2 linked regions of the Lytechinus pictus genome follow. The protein of the gene in region 1 interacts with the protein of each later gene in a pairwise test. Links are inferred from orthologs where the notes say so. Each region holds a gene or a part of one and is shown on either strand. Other genes may lie near its edges. The genes, in order: ATP-dependent RNA helicase cgh-1-like and eukaryotic translation initiation factor 4E-like.

Region 1 (7,643 bases):
TTTATGCGAGCGTGAAGAGCGAGCTGACATTTTTTCCAACCCAAAGCTGGAAATTCTAAGCATGTTTTGTAACCATGAACAGGATGGGTATCTATTTAAACAATTATTGTGCGAGCGCAGAGCGCTAGCTAAAAATTATATTCTGACCTAAAATGTTGACATAAGCGCTTTCGGTGATCATGAACAGGATGGTCATTTAACTAATTAGCAATTGATGTGAGCGCGAGCTGATTTTTTTTTTATTTTCTACCTGCAAAATTTGGACATCCTAAACACTTTCTGCAGGGGCCGCGGAAGCGGGGGGGGGAGGGGGGCTTCAGCCCCCCTTTTTTCCAAAACCGTGTACAAAAAACGTAAAAATGACCATATGATTGTGATTTTTTGCATGGTCAGCACCCTACCCCAGCTTTTGGCCCCTGTTCTGTAATCATGAATAGGATGGGCATCTAATTAATCGATGCGAGCACGAAGCCGCGAACTAAAATTTTTTTATATTCCGACCCAAAACTTGTGATTCGTTCTAAGCAAATTTTTGGGACCATGAACAGCGGATGAATATCTATCTAAACAATATTATGTGAGCCGAAGCGCGAGCTGAAAATTTTGTATATTCTAAAATTGTAGATTTAAAATTTGGACATTCGAGTATGCATTTTTTAGTAATCTGAAATACGAGTGTAAAGTCCGAGACTTTTGGTTATAGAACTTTGGGGAAAAAATAATGGCACCAAAATTGTGGAACAATCTGCCTCATCAATTCTTCTACATGCATAAAGACTATATGGTATTATGCGTCTCTAAGAACTGCCTATTATTATTATTATTAATCATGAACAGGATGAGTATCTAACAAAACAGCTTATGTGAGCGCGAAGCGCGAGCTGAAAATTTTTGATCTATCGACCCAAAGTTGGACATTTTATTAAAGCATTATCTGACCACGATCGTCACCCTACTAAACAATAATTGATGGCGCCCCTATAGGTCGAACATCAATTCGACGCCCCTCGGTTGAACATCAATTCGGCGCCCCTAGGTCGAACATCAATTCGACGCCCCTCGGTTGAACATCAATTTGGCGCCCCTATAGGTCGAACATCAATTCGACGCCCCTCGGTTGAACATCAATTTGGCGCCCCCCCCCCTCCCCCTATCTCGAACATCGATTGGCGACAGTATAAGTATAACATAAATTCGGCCCCCCCCCCTTCTCTCTTCCTTTTTTTTTCCTTCTCTATATATATCTTTCCGTTTTTTTTTTCTTTTTCTTTTTTTCTTTCCCTCCTTTTTTCCTCCCCTGTTCTTTCCCTCTCTTTTCTTTTTCTTTTTGGCGCCCCCTTTTCGCCTACCGGGGGGGGGGGGGGCGAAGCGTGAGCGGAAAAAATTAACCCAAAAAGGGAGACACTCTATTCATATTTCATAAAACATGAAAAAGGTGGGTAATTGGGTATCTTCCTACGTTAATAATGCGAGCACGAAGCGCGAGTAGAAAATTTTTGATAATCTAATCTGAAACAGGATAATTTCACGCACGTTTTCGCTGCGTATCTCAATATTGTGCTCGTGTTTTAGATGTAGGCATAGAATCTGAGCATTCTACATGGGCCTACATTTCTTTTATTATGAAAATCAGGCGAGCGCGAAGCGCGAGCTAATCTCTTAGTACTTTTGTAAATATTTTTTTCATCAATTTTCCTGCCTTTGTACTTTGTTTTATTATGTTTGTTTCATATATACATGATATAGGCCCCTTTCACAAGCTTTGCTTCTATGCCGGGGCCCAAACCCTATCAAGTCTCTTGTTTGATTGCGGAAAGTGGGGATGTGACCTCCATACTCTAATCAATATTCATGATGACGTGCATATTTAAAATACAATATCTTCGCTATTCAGATTTTGATGAAAAAATTTCAGCATTTTGCTTTGTGACTCGTACGGATATTTCAGCACGGATTATCCCTTTAATTGAATTCCGAGTGTCTGATTTCAAAATATGACGATCGATATCTCCGGAAAACGATAACGCGTGAATTTATCAGAGCACATTAATAAATTCAAGTGACTGATGCATGGGTGTCGATCACGGGGGGGATGGGGGGGGATATATCCCCCCCAATATTTCAAGTGGGGGGTGGTCTGTATTATCATCCCCCCAATAATTTAGGGTAGAAAATTTATTATAATGATGATGATGAAAAAATGAAAAGTTTGATCATGATGATTATAGTGATGATTATAGTATGCCATCAATCAGTTTGTTTCCCTCGCAATTCGTGTATATTGTTATTAAATAAAAACATTCTTTTCTAGGACTTTTAAACAGATGGGTGGAGGTTCAAGATGAAAAAGAATGAAATATTTATGTATATATGATATTTTTTAACACATGACATAAAAGGACCCCGACGAAAAACAACTTTTGTTGATAGAGTGTTCCATCCCACCAGTGGTAATATGATCATATTTTTACAATTTTTTAAAAAATGAAATCAATTAATGGTTTCAGATAGAATAATCGTTCATTTCTCTCTAAAGCGTATCTTCGGATATGAACATCGGATGTTTTTTTTCCCATGATATTCTTGTTATTGTTATGGACTTGAATAACTAAACTTGATTGATTTTTTCTTTATTTTGGCAAAAAGAAATCTCTTTTGAGTTTGGAAAGGGATGACAGTTTTGCATTCTATATGAGCACACTCATGCGGTACGTAAATTTCATTTTAAAACATATATTAGCTGATATTACACACTGATGGTTCAAGAAAATGTTGGAGAAATATCATAACATGACAGTTGAGTTTTGATTGTTTTTATGTTTGTTTTTGTTCCATGCACTTATAAAGCATTTAAAACATGTTAAAATCCAGGGTTAAAATCGTCTAAGGAATGACGGTAAGCCCGATGGCGCACGAGAAGCCACACAGTTTGTAATTTGTGCTAGTCTTAATTTGTCCGAATCTGCATTTTATCATCATGCATTAAGAAGAAAAAAGATATTGCCAGTCGGGTTAGATTTAAGAGAGAAGTTGTATACATCATGTTCAATAAACAGATCACTTTGTACATGGTCCAGACAATTTTTGTCATTATTTCTTTCGTATGAGTTTAGAATAGGCTTACTTGTAACACAAATTGAATTTTCAAAAAAAAATTATATAAGTACAGTACACTGCAACAATGAAAGAATTTCCGAGAAATTACAGTGGCGTAACTACGGGGGGGGGGGGGGCATGGGGGGCACGTGCCCCCCCCCCCATCGGCTGGCAAAAAAAACGGGGAAGAGGAGAAAGGAAGAGAAACGTAGTGGGAATGAAGAAATTATTGTTTATTATAATGTTATATTATAATAATGTTATGTTATAATACATAAGAAACATTTTTTCATAACTTTATTTTGCTCAGGCCTAGATGTCTTCATTGTTCCCGGTACTCGCATTGTCTGTTTAAAGTCAATATACACCAAATATATTTCCTCGCACTTCGACTTATCATTGTTTTATGTAGTGACATATGGTTCTTTTTCATGACTACTTAAAGTGATTGCCCCATTTTAAGGTATTAATATAAAACATTTCCTGTCCGTGCTTACGTTCGCACTAGTAGATTGGTGAGATATGTCTGCTCTTCATGAATTCCTAAAAATCAGTCCTAAAAATGTCCCTTTTTCTGATCTGAATATCAAAAAATTTCAGCTCGCGCTTCGCGCTCGGATCATTTGTTTAGTGAAATACGTATCGTATGGTCTTAGTGAATTCTTACAAACAGGCCTTAGAATGCCTCTCTTCAGGTCTTAATATTCCAAATTTTCAGCTCGCGCTTCGCGCTCGCAATATTTGATGAGAGATGCGTATTATCATGATTACAATGACTGCAAAAAGTGCTTCATGTGTTTAGATGTAGCAAAATCAGCAATTAAGCGCTTTGCACTCGCATTAGATGACTATGGTGAGATATGTATACTCTTAATGGATTCCTAAAATATAGTCCTTAACATGTCCTTGTTTGGGGTCAATATTTACAACAATTTCAGCTCGCACTTCGCGCTTGCATTGTTTGTTTAGCGAGACAGGTATGTATAATTACAAAAATTTGCTTAAAATGTCCTTTTTTGGTCTGCATATCAAAAATTTTCAGCTCGCGCTTCGTGCTCGCATTAATTGAGCAGTGAGATACATATCCGTTTAATGGCACTGTCTTTAAAATGTACCTATTAGGTCAGTATACCTGGCAACTGAGCGCGCTTTGCGCGCTCAGTCACCAAGTGACTCAAAATTATGCTGGTGCCCGGCCCCAATGCCGTGACTCACGGTACACCACTAGCTGCAAGAACACCACTCCCAAATGTCCTAACTTGTGATTTTAGTGGGGGTAATGTTGAAAGATCCCCATCCACAAGAACATTTGTGTCCATCATCCCCCCCCAACCAAGAATACCGATCGACACCCATGGACTGATGTATGATATTGGGCGGGGAAAAGTATAGCGCTATATTTTATAGGACCTAACTTCAATTGGGATTAGGGCCTATAATTATATTCATTTTCATCGATCTTGCTAAATCTTTTTTATTATTTCTTTTATACTTTTTTTCATATAAAAAACAACAAAAACAATTTTTTTAAAGTCAATAGGCATATATATATATTATTTATACACAACCCAAAGATTATAAGGCATTTTCGAACCTTCTTTTACAGTCTGTTGCAGCGGGGGGGGGGGGGGGGGGAATAATAATCCGGCGAATTGACAAAGGACGAGCTGCCCGGATGCCATACACAAAAGAAGAAAACAGTCTACCGGTACCTGTTTTGTCTACGGTACTGCACTGCAGCACTAGCAAATACACTGTGGACAGAATTTCGTATGCGTATACACAGACGGCCATTTTGAACCTTCTTGTATTGTAAGTCGAACAACCCGTCTCTAGAAATCCGTCTTAATCTGTGTTGTTCTGAATATGCTACTTTTGAATGAAATGTTTTTCGAATGATGTGTTTTATACGATTCTGATATGTCACATTTTGGGCATTTTAAGTGTTGGCAAAGTGTATAATTTTGTTTGAGAATATGGGTTTGAGAATTCGGTCGTAGCGTACCAGGTAGTTCATACAGCGTCATAATATAGGCTAAAATTGTAAAATATGAGATTGAAACGTAATGGGATGATTGGAAAAGGACCCGCTGTGCCCTTCCCTGACAAAAACACTTCATCTTGCTTCTATGAAGTTGAAGTGGAATTAATCTTTATTCTCGGGATCTGCTAAAGGTCTTGTAGAGATTGTTGTTAATGTTGAGAATTTGGGACTTTTTATTTTAATTTTATTGATGTGACCTGATCAGACCGGGCAGAGCGAGATATTTTTTCAATTTTTTTTTCTGAAACATTTTTTATTCTAAAATTTCTTCTCACGATGTGAAATTTGCCTCAATTTTTGTTCAATAGGTCAATAATACGGCATGCCAATAATAATACGATTTTTTTAGCTGCAGCCGTCTGTTCTGAGACAGGAGTTTTTAAACATTTTTCATCAGTAGAGGCGCACGGCCAATATGGGAGACTCACTCCAATACTAGGCCTAGGGGAGACAATCTCCCACATTGGAGACTTGCTTTGCAAAAGGACAAAAGAAACAACTCCAACAAAAGCATGATTTTTTCCACCCAAAATTTTGTCTCACTGAGGTCAGAAGCCCATTTGTTTTGTGTGTGATTGACAACAAAAATCCTTATCAAAACAAAAGTAGACGGTGAATTTTTAAAGTAGACGGTGAAAAGGGGTAATTTTTCATGAGGAATCTGCTTATCACATTTTTATTTGCCGCCATTTAATCCTTTTGCAGCAAATGTAAACAAAGGAAATTGGACTCAGATTGTCAGAAACTGGAGACTGTCTCTGAAATTGGATAGGCCTACCCAAATTCTTTACCAAAGTCTCTGATATTTGGAGATAATCTCCCACATTGGAGACAGTCTCCAATATTGGCCATGCGCCTCTACTGTTCATGTAATAAAACTAATATTTTTAAATTTCTCCTCGACCTCGTAGACGTAGTCATACAGACGGCTCGCTATCGTGCAGCCACCATTAGGGGGTTAACAATGCGAAATCCCCCCCCCCCCCCCCCCCCGGCAGTGCTCATCGATTTTTGTCCTTATTTCATAATCATACAAAGAACTGTCAAACCAAAATAAAGATAATTCCGTTTTGGCCTAAAATGCACCAAAACGGGGAAAAATAAACTTAGGAAGTTAGGGCCTAGGCCTATATAAAAGGGGAAAAAACAGTGACTTCGGCTGTCACGCAAATTCACTTCCCTGTTTTATCCGACCTTAATACACAAACATATGGCCATTGAGTCCCTGTACAGATCGAGCTAGAACTTTGGCCTCTGTATTTTGGTGAGTGGAGCCAACGGAGTTCAGCGGAACAGCCAACATAACAGAGACTGAAGCTTTTGGGTCTAGGCCTATATTTTTCTAGGCTTCTAGCCTAAGTTCATGAAGTTTGATTTAAAACTTTTGACTTTTTGTTTGAGCTTCGTCTAAAATCTTCAAAATGTAAAGTTAGACTTTTGCATTGCACGTGCTAAAGTCGATCATATGTCGTGTCAGTGCGTTGGAGAGCTGATGATAAGTGCTGTACCACACGCGATTTTCAATCCGGAAGTTGCAGACTTTCGCTCAGATTACGGCGTACGCTCGGAGCTCCTGGCATGACTGGCCTGTTCGAATGAAGGCAACAATCACAACAACACGGTTGTGACGGAATTGATGTTGACCGTATTTATGTGCAAATTCAATGCAGTTTAGCGTTATCTTTGTTTCTTTTATGAGTTTTCATATGGAAGATGTGATCGTTTATTTGCAAGAAAACTTGGAACTTAACTGTGATTGCTTCATTTTTAGCACATCTCCTTGCGATCCTGTTTCTTAAGTCTGAGCTAAGCCTCTGGAAATGAGTTTTCAAAGGGGATATTGTGACTTTCCTGTGGTGAGTGAATGTGTTTGGTGTGGGTTGTGGTGATTGCCTTCTGGCTTGTGAAATGATACGTATCGTGGCACATGTTGAATAGGGCACGCTACTCATTCAATTTGATCAATTTTATTGGCAAAGTTAGACTGGATGATCATTTGCTGATGTGAGGTAAGCGACCCCAAATTCAACGTGCACCGAGACTCGACCGCCAAACTCAGTCTCACGAGCCAGCTCATTCAATCAACACAAACCTATGGCAGAATCGCAAATTAGATACTTGTCCGCACTTCACATGTGTGCTCTACCGCCACACCCCAAGAAAGTCTTGGTTTCAACTCCAAAATCTGCTCTTGGGCTGTGAAAAGCCAAATTCTATGCCATAAAAATTGCTGAATTTACGTCATTTTTCTAAAGCGCATGGTGGCTTACAGTATGTAGCTCAGCTCAGCTTGCTTGAAGGACAAGTCCACCCCAACAAAAAGTTGATTTTAATAAAAAGAAAAAATCCAACTAACATAACAAGTGCCCGAAATTTCATCAAAATCAGATGTAAAATAAGAAATTATGACATTTTAAAGTTTTGCTTAATTTCACAAAATAGTTGTATGCACATCCTTGTTGGTGTAAATGAGGAGACTCATGACGTCATCCACTCACTATTT
Region 2 (7,458 bases), on another chromosome or scaffold:
ACTACAGTGTCTGGTAATACAAAGTTTAGTTATTGACTGTATGGCTTATTTGTACGATTGATCATACACAATAATCGATGCAATCAATCGTAGTAATCAGACCCACCACCAATCGCTCAGCTTTGTGTCAAGGGCCACTGCAGAACACTTTGACTATGGCCGCCAAGATGGCCTCCTCTGATGCCCCTGTGAACATGTTTTAAGCCACATACATGTATACAAGGGAAATTCCAAATGCCGTTTCCATAGACGAGTGGTCTTTGTAATCATTAATGATTATGTACCACAAATAATTTATATTTTTAATTTGTTTTTATTATTTTTTATTGTCTCACCTGCAAAGCAGAGCGAGACTAAAGGCTCTGTTCCGACGTCGGTGTTGTCAACATTGAAAACTCAAACAAAATAAGTTTTTGAAATGTTATAACTTTAAATGTATGTAATCAAAGAAGAACAAAGGTACTTCCAGAGGATTAGAGCCATGTGTGGTGCTAGGTCAGCAGATGAATGATCTTTTCCTAGCCTGGCCATACTAGAAGCCCCCCCCCTCCCCAATTAAAATTGCCATTATTAAAAAAAGGAACCCAAAGTGAATTGGAGGTCCATGGATACTTACGACCAGAAATCTTCTACTGTATCAAATGCTGTGACGATTCTAAGGTTTTCTGTCCATGATTTGGCTTTGTCATTCTTGAAGAACCACATAGACCATCTGCTCTGTAAGGGATGTTTGATGAGACTTTCTGGATCTACGGCTTGTTGGTCGCTTTGGAGATCTTCTTCTTGTTGCTGCAGATGCTTTACACCCTTCCCATCTTTACTAATATCCTGTGAGAGTTACAAAGAGAGAGAGAGAGAGAGTGAGAATTATTGAAACCAACAACATCACATCAGCATTATCTATGTGATTAAAAATAAATTCCAGTTGTGGCAACGATTTCAAAATGAGTGCGTACAAAATTCAATAAGACGACTACCCAAGTGTCTTTTTCGTATACGTGCCACAGGATTCTGGGAGAAATTGTGCAATTACTGAGAAACAAGCAATAATAGAACAGAGAGATTATCTGAGTAGTCAATCTTCACTGTGATTAGCTTAGATTTCATGATTTCACAAAGTTCAGTGTAAGTAACTGTACTACTACATGTAAATTATCATCTATGATGATATAGTGATAATTCACCTTGGTTTAACAGACTTACTCATGAAATCAGTGATGAGACCTAGGCTATTTCCATGATATTTAATACTGTGATTGGTTTGCATCATTACTACATCATCACCATCACCATCACCAATACCACCATCATAATTATCATCATCCCTGCCACCTCATCATCATTATACTCATTTAAGATGCTTCCTAAAGCAAGTTTAAACCTCTGTTTATATCCAAGTTCTGTCTTCTCTTTAGATCATCATCATCATCATCATCATCAATAATCATCATCATCATCATCACCAAATATCCTTCTCCCCACTCTAATCCAGTCCTGAGCACTTTCAATCTTTAAACCTGCTTGAAGAAATGGAAAATGTTTAGATATCTGCTGTTATTGGTGTTTTTATCATCATCACACCACCATCATCATTTCATCATCACCATCATCACCATCATCATCATTATCATCACTATTATTTCATCATCATCATCACTGAAATCAATGCCATATTCTTCAAAATTCAAATCCTAATCATATTCAAATTGCAGATTTGCCACTAAATATTTGTTAAGTTTCTCCAATCTTATGAATTCATATTATATTACTTATCTCATGACATAAACTGCAATCTCTTAAATACTACTTTTTCTCCACATTACTCATCAGCGTGGTTTCCTAAATTTTAACAAAGTTTGAGTTACAAAAATTATATTTTGATATGCATATTAATTTTAAAATGTACTTGCATACGATGTATGATTTATATATGCCTCTCTTTCTTTTTTCATATTTTTCACTTTCCATTACATCCCTCTTTTACCTCCGGCTTTCACCATAGGCCTACTCTCCCTTCATCACATTCAACTTCTCTACCTGCCTATTCTGCCCCCCGCTAATAAATAGGCCTACCTTTTAAAATTCAAATTCAAGTTCAAATACTGCCTAGAGATCTACTTCCTATCTTTCATGAACCTGCTTACACAGAGATTGAGAATGGTAAGATATCTGACCGCGGTAGATAACTGCCATTATTGGCTTGTATCATCACCACCATCAATCCATCACCAATGATCACCATTATCAGGGACAGTATCACCACCATCATCATAATCATTTTTCTCATCGTCACCATCTTCATCTAGATAATAGATCTACTTTTCATCACCACTACACCAGCATCGTCTTCATCATGCTGCCAGCTTAGCCTTAATAATATTTTAACCTGCTTTTAAATTCATGTTACTTCATCACTTGCCAAAACTAAAAGTTAGAATAGAAATGACAGGATGAGGATTGGGATTCAGAACTGGAAGGAAACTGAACTCTCACTCAGTCTCAGTCTCACAACAGACTGCACAGACATGAGACAGAGCCACACTCAACTGACTGACAAACGTTAAATTTCCACTTTTTTGGTTTCAGGAAGCTCTAACGTTACTTCATTCTCTAAACCTGTCTCCTGTTTTTTTGGTAATGAAAGTTAGGTTTTGGGGGAGGACTGCAATAGCCACACAAAAACTTGGCTCAGCTCACATACCAACACAACACGAAATTCACTCCGACCTCTAGCAATTCAATGAACGTGGCTGCACAATGGCAATGCACATGTTCCACTCAACTCAGCATATCAGCGCAAGACAACCGGCGAAATTATCACCGCGAGCCTCCTTACTCTTTCGCTTTTATCTCATAAAATAATAAAAACATCGATCATTACGAGATGTGAACGTAGCATATGATATCAGGAAGCGATCATTAATCGTTAACTCAGTTAAATGGTACAGAAATGCAAGAAAATTACCTCGAGATTAACATGCTTTGCTATATTCACGGAAGCCATTTTCCTTATGTTCCAATTTTGGCCTTCTGTCGTAATGTCACGTGGTACAATCAGGTGGAAATAGAATTGATGAAGTGACCACCAAGTAGAACATAAACGTCACACAAATTTGTCTTGGGGGTCGTGCCTCGAAGGAGGAGGAGTGCAAAAGAAAAAACAAACTAAGGGGGGGGGGGGATAATCTGTCAGATCTGCTGTATTAAAAAAAAAAAACACACAATGAATCGACTGTAAGTAGAATATTGCGCATATGCACATCTCATGCAAATGACAAAGACATTATCGACTTTTCAGTGGTTGTTTATTTGAAGAGGTAGTCCTGTCACTTCTAAGCTTTATTCTTATATAAATCAACATAAATATATAATCTCTTAAGCCTTATTTGAATAATGCGAGCGCGAAGCGCGAGCTATGTTTTATTTCATGTATTTTGTCCTAAAATTTAAACATTCTGGGCAATGTTTGTGATCCTAAATGAGGTGTGTATCCAACTAAATAATTACTGTGAGCGCGAAGCGCGAGCAGAAATTTGTAATGTACGTTTTGATCCGATCAAAAAAGGATTTATTAACGGCTGCTCGTTAGCCAAGAAGACGTTACATATATTTCAACAATCAAATAATGCAAGTGCGAAGCGCGAGCTGAAAATTTTGACATGCCTACCTGAAGTATGGAATTCTACGAGCACTTTTTGTATTCGTGAAAAGGATAAGTATATAACTAAACAATTGATGCGAGCGCGAAGCGCGAGCGGAAAAAATCAAAATTTACACTTAAAAGTGGGACACTCGATCTATTCATGTTTTGTAAATCATGAAAAAGATGAGTAATTGGAAATGTTCCTACATTAATAATGCGAGCGGAAACATTTTGATATTGCATATGATCTGAAACTGGATAATGATTTAAATAGAGAGAGCAAGCTGCGTACCTGAATAAGATATATGCGCGCGCGTGTCTCAGATTTCGACCTAGAATCTGGGCATTCTAAATACCTTTTTTTTTAATCATGAAAATCAATAAAGCGAGCGCGAAGGGCGAGCTTGATATATCGATCTGAAAAGGGGTCAATTTAAGCTCTTGATTTCAAGCATATTGTAGGAAAATTGAGAGGCAGACATGGATCACACTTAAAAAAGAGCTGATATGTTTCATTACTATTACCCTGTAGTAGGTCCATGCTATTACTTTGGCTTTTGACATATAACCGGGACATTTTAAAGGACAAGTCAACCACAACAAAAAGTTGATTTGAATAAATAGAGAAAAATCCAACAAGCATTACACTGAAAATTTCATCAAAATCGGATGTAAAATAAGAAAGTTATGACATTTTAAAGTTTCGCTTAATTTCACAAAACAGTTATAATTATGCACATCCTGGCTGGTATGCTAATGAGGAGACTATGACATCATCCACTCACTATTTCTTTTGTATTTTGTTATATGAAATATTCTAATTTTCTCCTCATTGTCAAGTGATACAACGATTAATTCCTCCCTGAACAATACATGTGGAATTAGCATTGTTTAATACTATATGGTTCAGTCAAGTTTGTCCTTATTTTCAAATCTGTAAAAAATGAAATATTAATTCAAACAATAAAAAACAAAAGAAATAGCGAGTGATGGACATTATCGACTGAGTCACCTAGTTGTGCATATGACTGTTTTGTGAAAAATAAGCGAAACTTAAAAAAGTCGTATAACTGGGCGTTGTTGCGTGCGCCTGTAATCCAAGCTATGTGGGGAAGTTACAAATTGATGCAGAGGTTCGAGGTGATCGAGCCCCGGTCACGTCTTTCGGATGGTGACGTTAAAGGTCGGTCCCAGACGTAAATAATCATATCTGATTGATACACGTCTGACAAAACTCAAATACACACACTTTATTTTACATCCGATTTTGATGAAATTTTCAGTGTTATGCTTTATGATTTGACCTTTAAGAACATATGTCATCATATAGAATGATGACTATCTTCCTATTTCTCTTCCTAAGCGCGAGATGATTTGATTATTAAATTAATATCTTATTTATTAATCTATAAAAAGACTAATGCGAGCCCGAAATCTATAATGGCCTGAAAACTGGACATCTAAAGCACTTTTTGTAATTATTAATAAGATATGAGTTAATATATTTTCAACAATCAATGCAAACGCAAATCGCGAGCCGAAATTTTTGATAAACTGTCATGAAATGGTTTGTTATATAATTAATATTGAGATATACATAACCCACCAATCAAAATTCGAGCGTGCAGCGCTAACTGATACGTTTTGACAATCTGACCTGAATAGGGATATTTTGAGAACTTTATGGAATACAGGAAAATAATAGGTACCTGACAAATCGAGTGCGCAGAGCAGAGCAGAAAATGTTAATATTCAGGCCATACAATATATATTTTTTTACAGAGCACTATTTAAAAATCAATTTGTAAATCAAACAAAATAATGAAAGTTCGATTTCTGAGCTGAAATATGTTTTGTATATAAATCACCTAAAAGGCAATGCGAGCGTGAAGCGCGAGCGAAACTTTTATATAGTGTCACGAAAGATTTTTTTTATTATAATTTTCCAAGTCTTCCCCTCATCTTATTCTTTAACTCGTCTTCCTTCTTTTATGTTTCTCCTTTCTTTTCCCTTCTCTTTTTTTAAATATTATTTCCCAATTTTTTTCCTTTTTATGCTCCGCCAATAGGGGGGGGGGGGGGCATTGGCGGCGGAAGCCAAAAATTTTAGGGGGGGACTACAACAATTTTTTGACAACCAAAAAAAAAAAAGGTTATCAACAAAAAATTTAGGGGGGATCGTCCCCCCCCCCCTGGATCCGCTTATGACACCACACAACACAAATAGCGCATATAGAAAAGACGGATGCCGCACCTTAGAAAAGGGGATGCTTCCCCCTCGGCCTCTGGCTCACAAGTGACATATATTATCCTTAAAAGGAAACCAAATATAGCATTTGTTTGTTTCTTCTTTTCTTTGTTTGGTTTGGCTGGCAAAAATGCAGTCAAGATATTTTGCCACTGCTTTTTTATATATAGTGGTTTTTTTTCCTTTGAAACTTGAAGAATGGCTTCTTTTCATTTAGGTTATTTCATTTTCTTTATTTTTCCTTCACTTTTTCTGTGCTATTTTTTTTCTTATTTCCAATTCCTTTCCTTTCCTTTCCCTCCATTCCCTTCCCTTCCCTTCCTTTCTTTTCCTTTCATTTCCTTCTTGTCTTGTCTTTCTTTTTTCTTTTCTTTTCTTCCTTCTTTTTTCTGATCGCTATTTCTTCCTTTTCTCACTTTACCTCTTCTTTTGTATTTTCCCCCTGCTTTCTGCTTTTGTTTTGATTTTAAGTTTTTTTTTGGTCCTGTAATTTTTTCTGCTGCAATATCACAACAGAGAAAACAAAACCGAGTCGATTTGGGGCCTGAGTGAAAAGAAGTGAAAAGTACAGGGGGGGGGGGGTCAGCAATTCCCTCCAAGATGACTGCCGTACTCTCTTTTGTGGAGTTTTTATTATTATTATTATTATTTTTACCTATCAATTATTTTGTTTATTATTATTATACAGTAAAACGTTATCATGATACATTTAAATTATCAAAAGGAAATGATGTATTCTCACCCCAGATTCTCACTAATCATGAAAGAACACATAGGCTAGGGGCATGTTGCATAACATTTTCGCCATAAAAAAACCTCTGGCAAATGAACAAAAATTCTGGCAAAAACTTCCAGATTTGTTTTCTTTTATGCAACATGTCACTATGTAACAAACGACTTGGTGAAAGAATAAACTCTGTTGTAGTGCGTGGCCTCATAGTTCATTGCTGAGGGACGGTAGCAGAAGACCACTCGTGCTTGTATTGTAATCCTCTCTAAAAAATATTAATTTTTACTGATATTCGGGTGACATCTATACGCTCAAGATGGCAGACGGAAGCGAACAAAAGTCTTTACCAATTTACACTGTTGATGCCTTTGCAAGTGCTCCATTTACGGGGAATTCTGCTGCGGTGTGTCCTATTTCAAGCGCCGAAGAGGTACGGTATTTCGCGCGGAAACCCAGGGCCAGCTGAAGGCACCCTTGTGGTCTCAGGGTACGGTGGTCTCACTCTGAGTCGGAGAGCGAGCGCGAGGTGCATACCGGGTACTGCATACTGAGGCCTGCACGGTAATTGGACAAAAGTTTTGCGAGCGTTTACGACCACGCCCCTCTACATCAGGATGGGATCTGAAATCTGATTTAAAAAAACATCAATTATATTTATACATTAAACCATTTGAACATAAAATCAAACATTTTCTAGTAGATCCATCTCTACTAATCAAGACTGACAAGAGTCTTACTAGGGATTTTTTACTTTGAGTATAAAGACGCTTGCTTGATTGATTGGTCGTTCGATCGATTGATTATTAGGGGGTTGATGCAGTGTAGACTTATTTTAAA

What was found.
Region 2: the proteins of ATP-dependent RNA helicase cgh-1-like (region 1) and eukaryotic translation initiation factor 4E-like interact in binary tests that used the Drosophila melanogaster proteins (3 or more experiments, as listed by UniProt). The link is inferred for Lytechinus pictus from reciprocal best matches to the Drosophila melanogaster genes me31B and eIF4E1.

What each region holds. Positions count from the first base shown.
Region 1 is NC_087252.1:4,884,054-4,891,696, reverse strand, and holds the start of ATP-dependent RNA helicase cgh-1-like, read left to right. Parts: upstream 1-4,625; 5' UTR 4,626-4,908; intron 4,909-7,643. UniProt on the Drosophila melanogaster protein: ATP-dependent RNA helicase which is a core component of a variety of ribonucleoprotein complexes (RNPs) that play critical roles in translational repression and mRNA decapping during embryogenesis, oogenesis, neurogenesis and neurotransmission.
Region 2 is NC_087262.1:23,051,358-23,058,815, forward strand, and holds the start of eukaryotic translation initiation factor 4E-like, read right to left. Parts: upstream 3,040-7,458; 5' UTR 3,005-3,039; coding exon 2,966-3,004; intron 829-2,965; coding exon 617-828; intron 1-616. Other genes in the region: phenazine biosynthesis-like domain-containing protein, read left to right, coding at 6,938-7,051. UniProt on the Drosophila melanogaster protein: Recognizes and binds the 7-methylguanosine (m7G)-containing mRNA cap during an early step in the initiation of protein synthesis and facilitates ribosome binding by inducing the unwinding of the mRNAs secondary structures.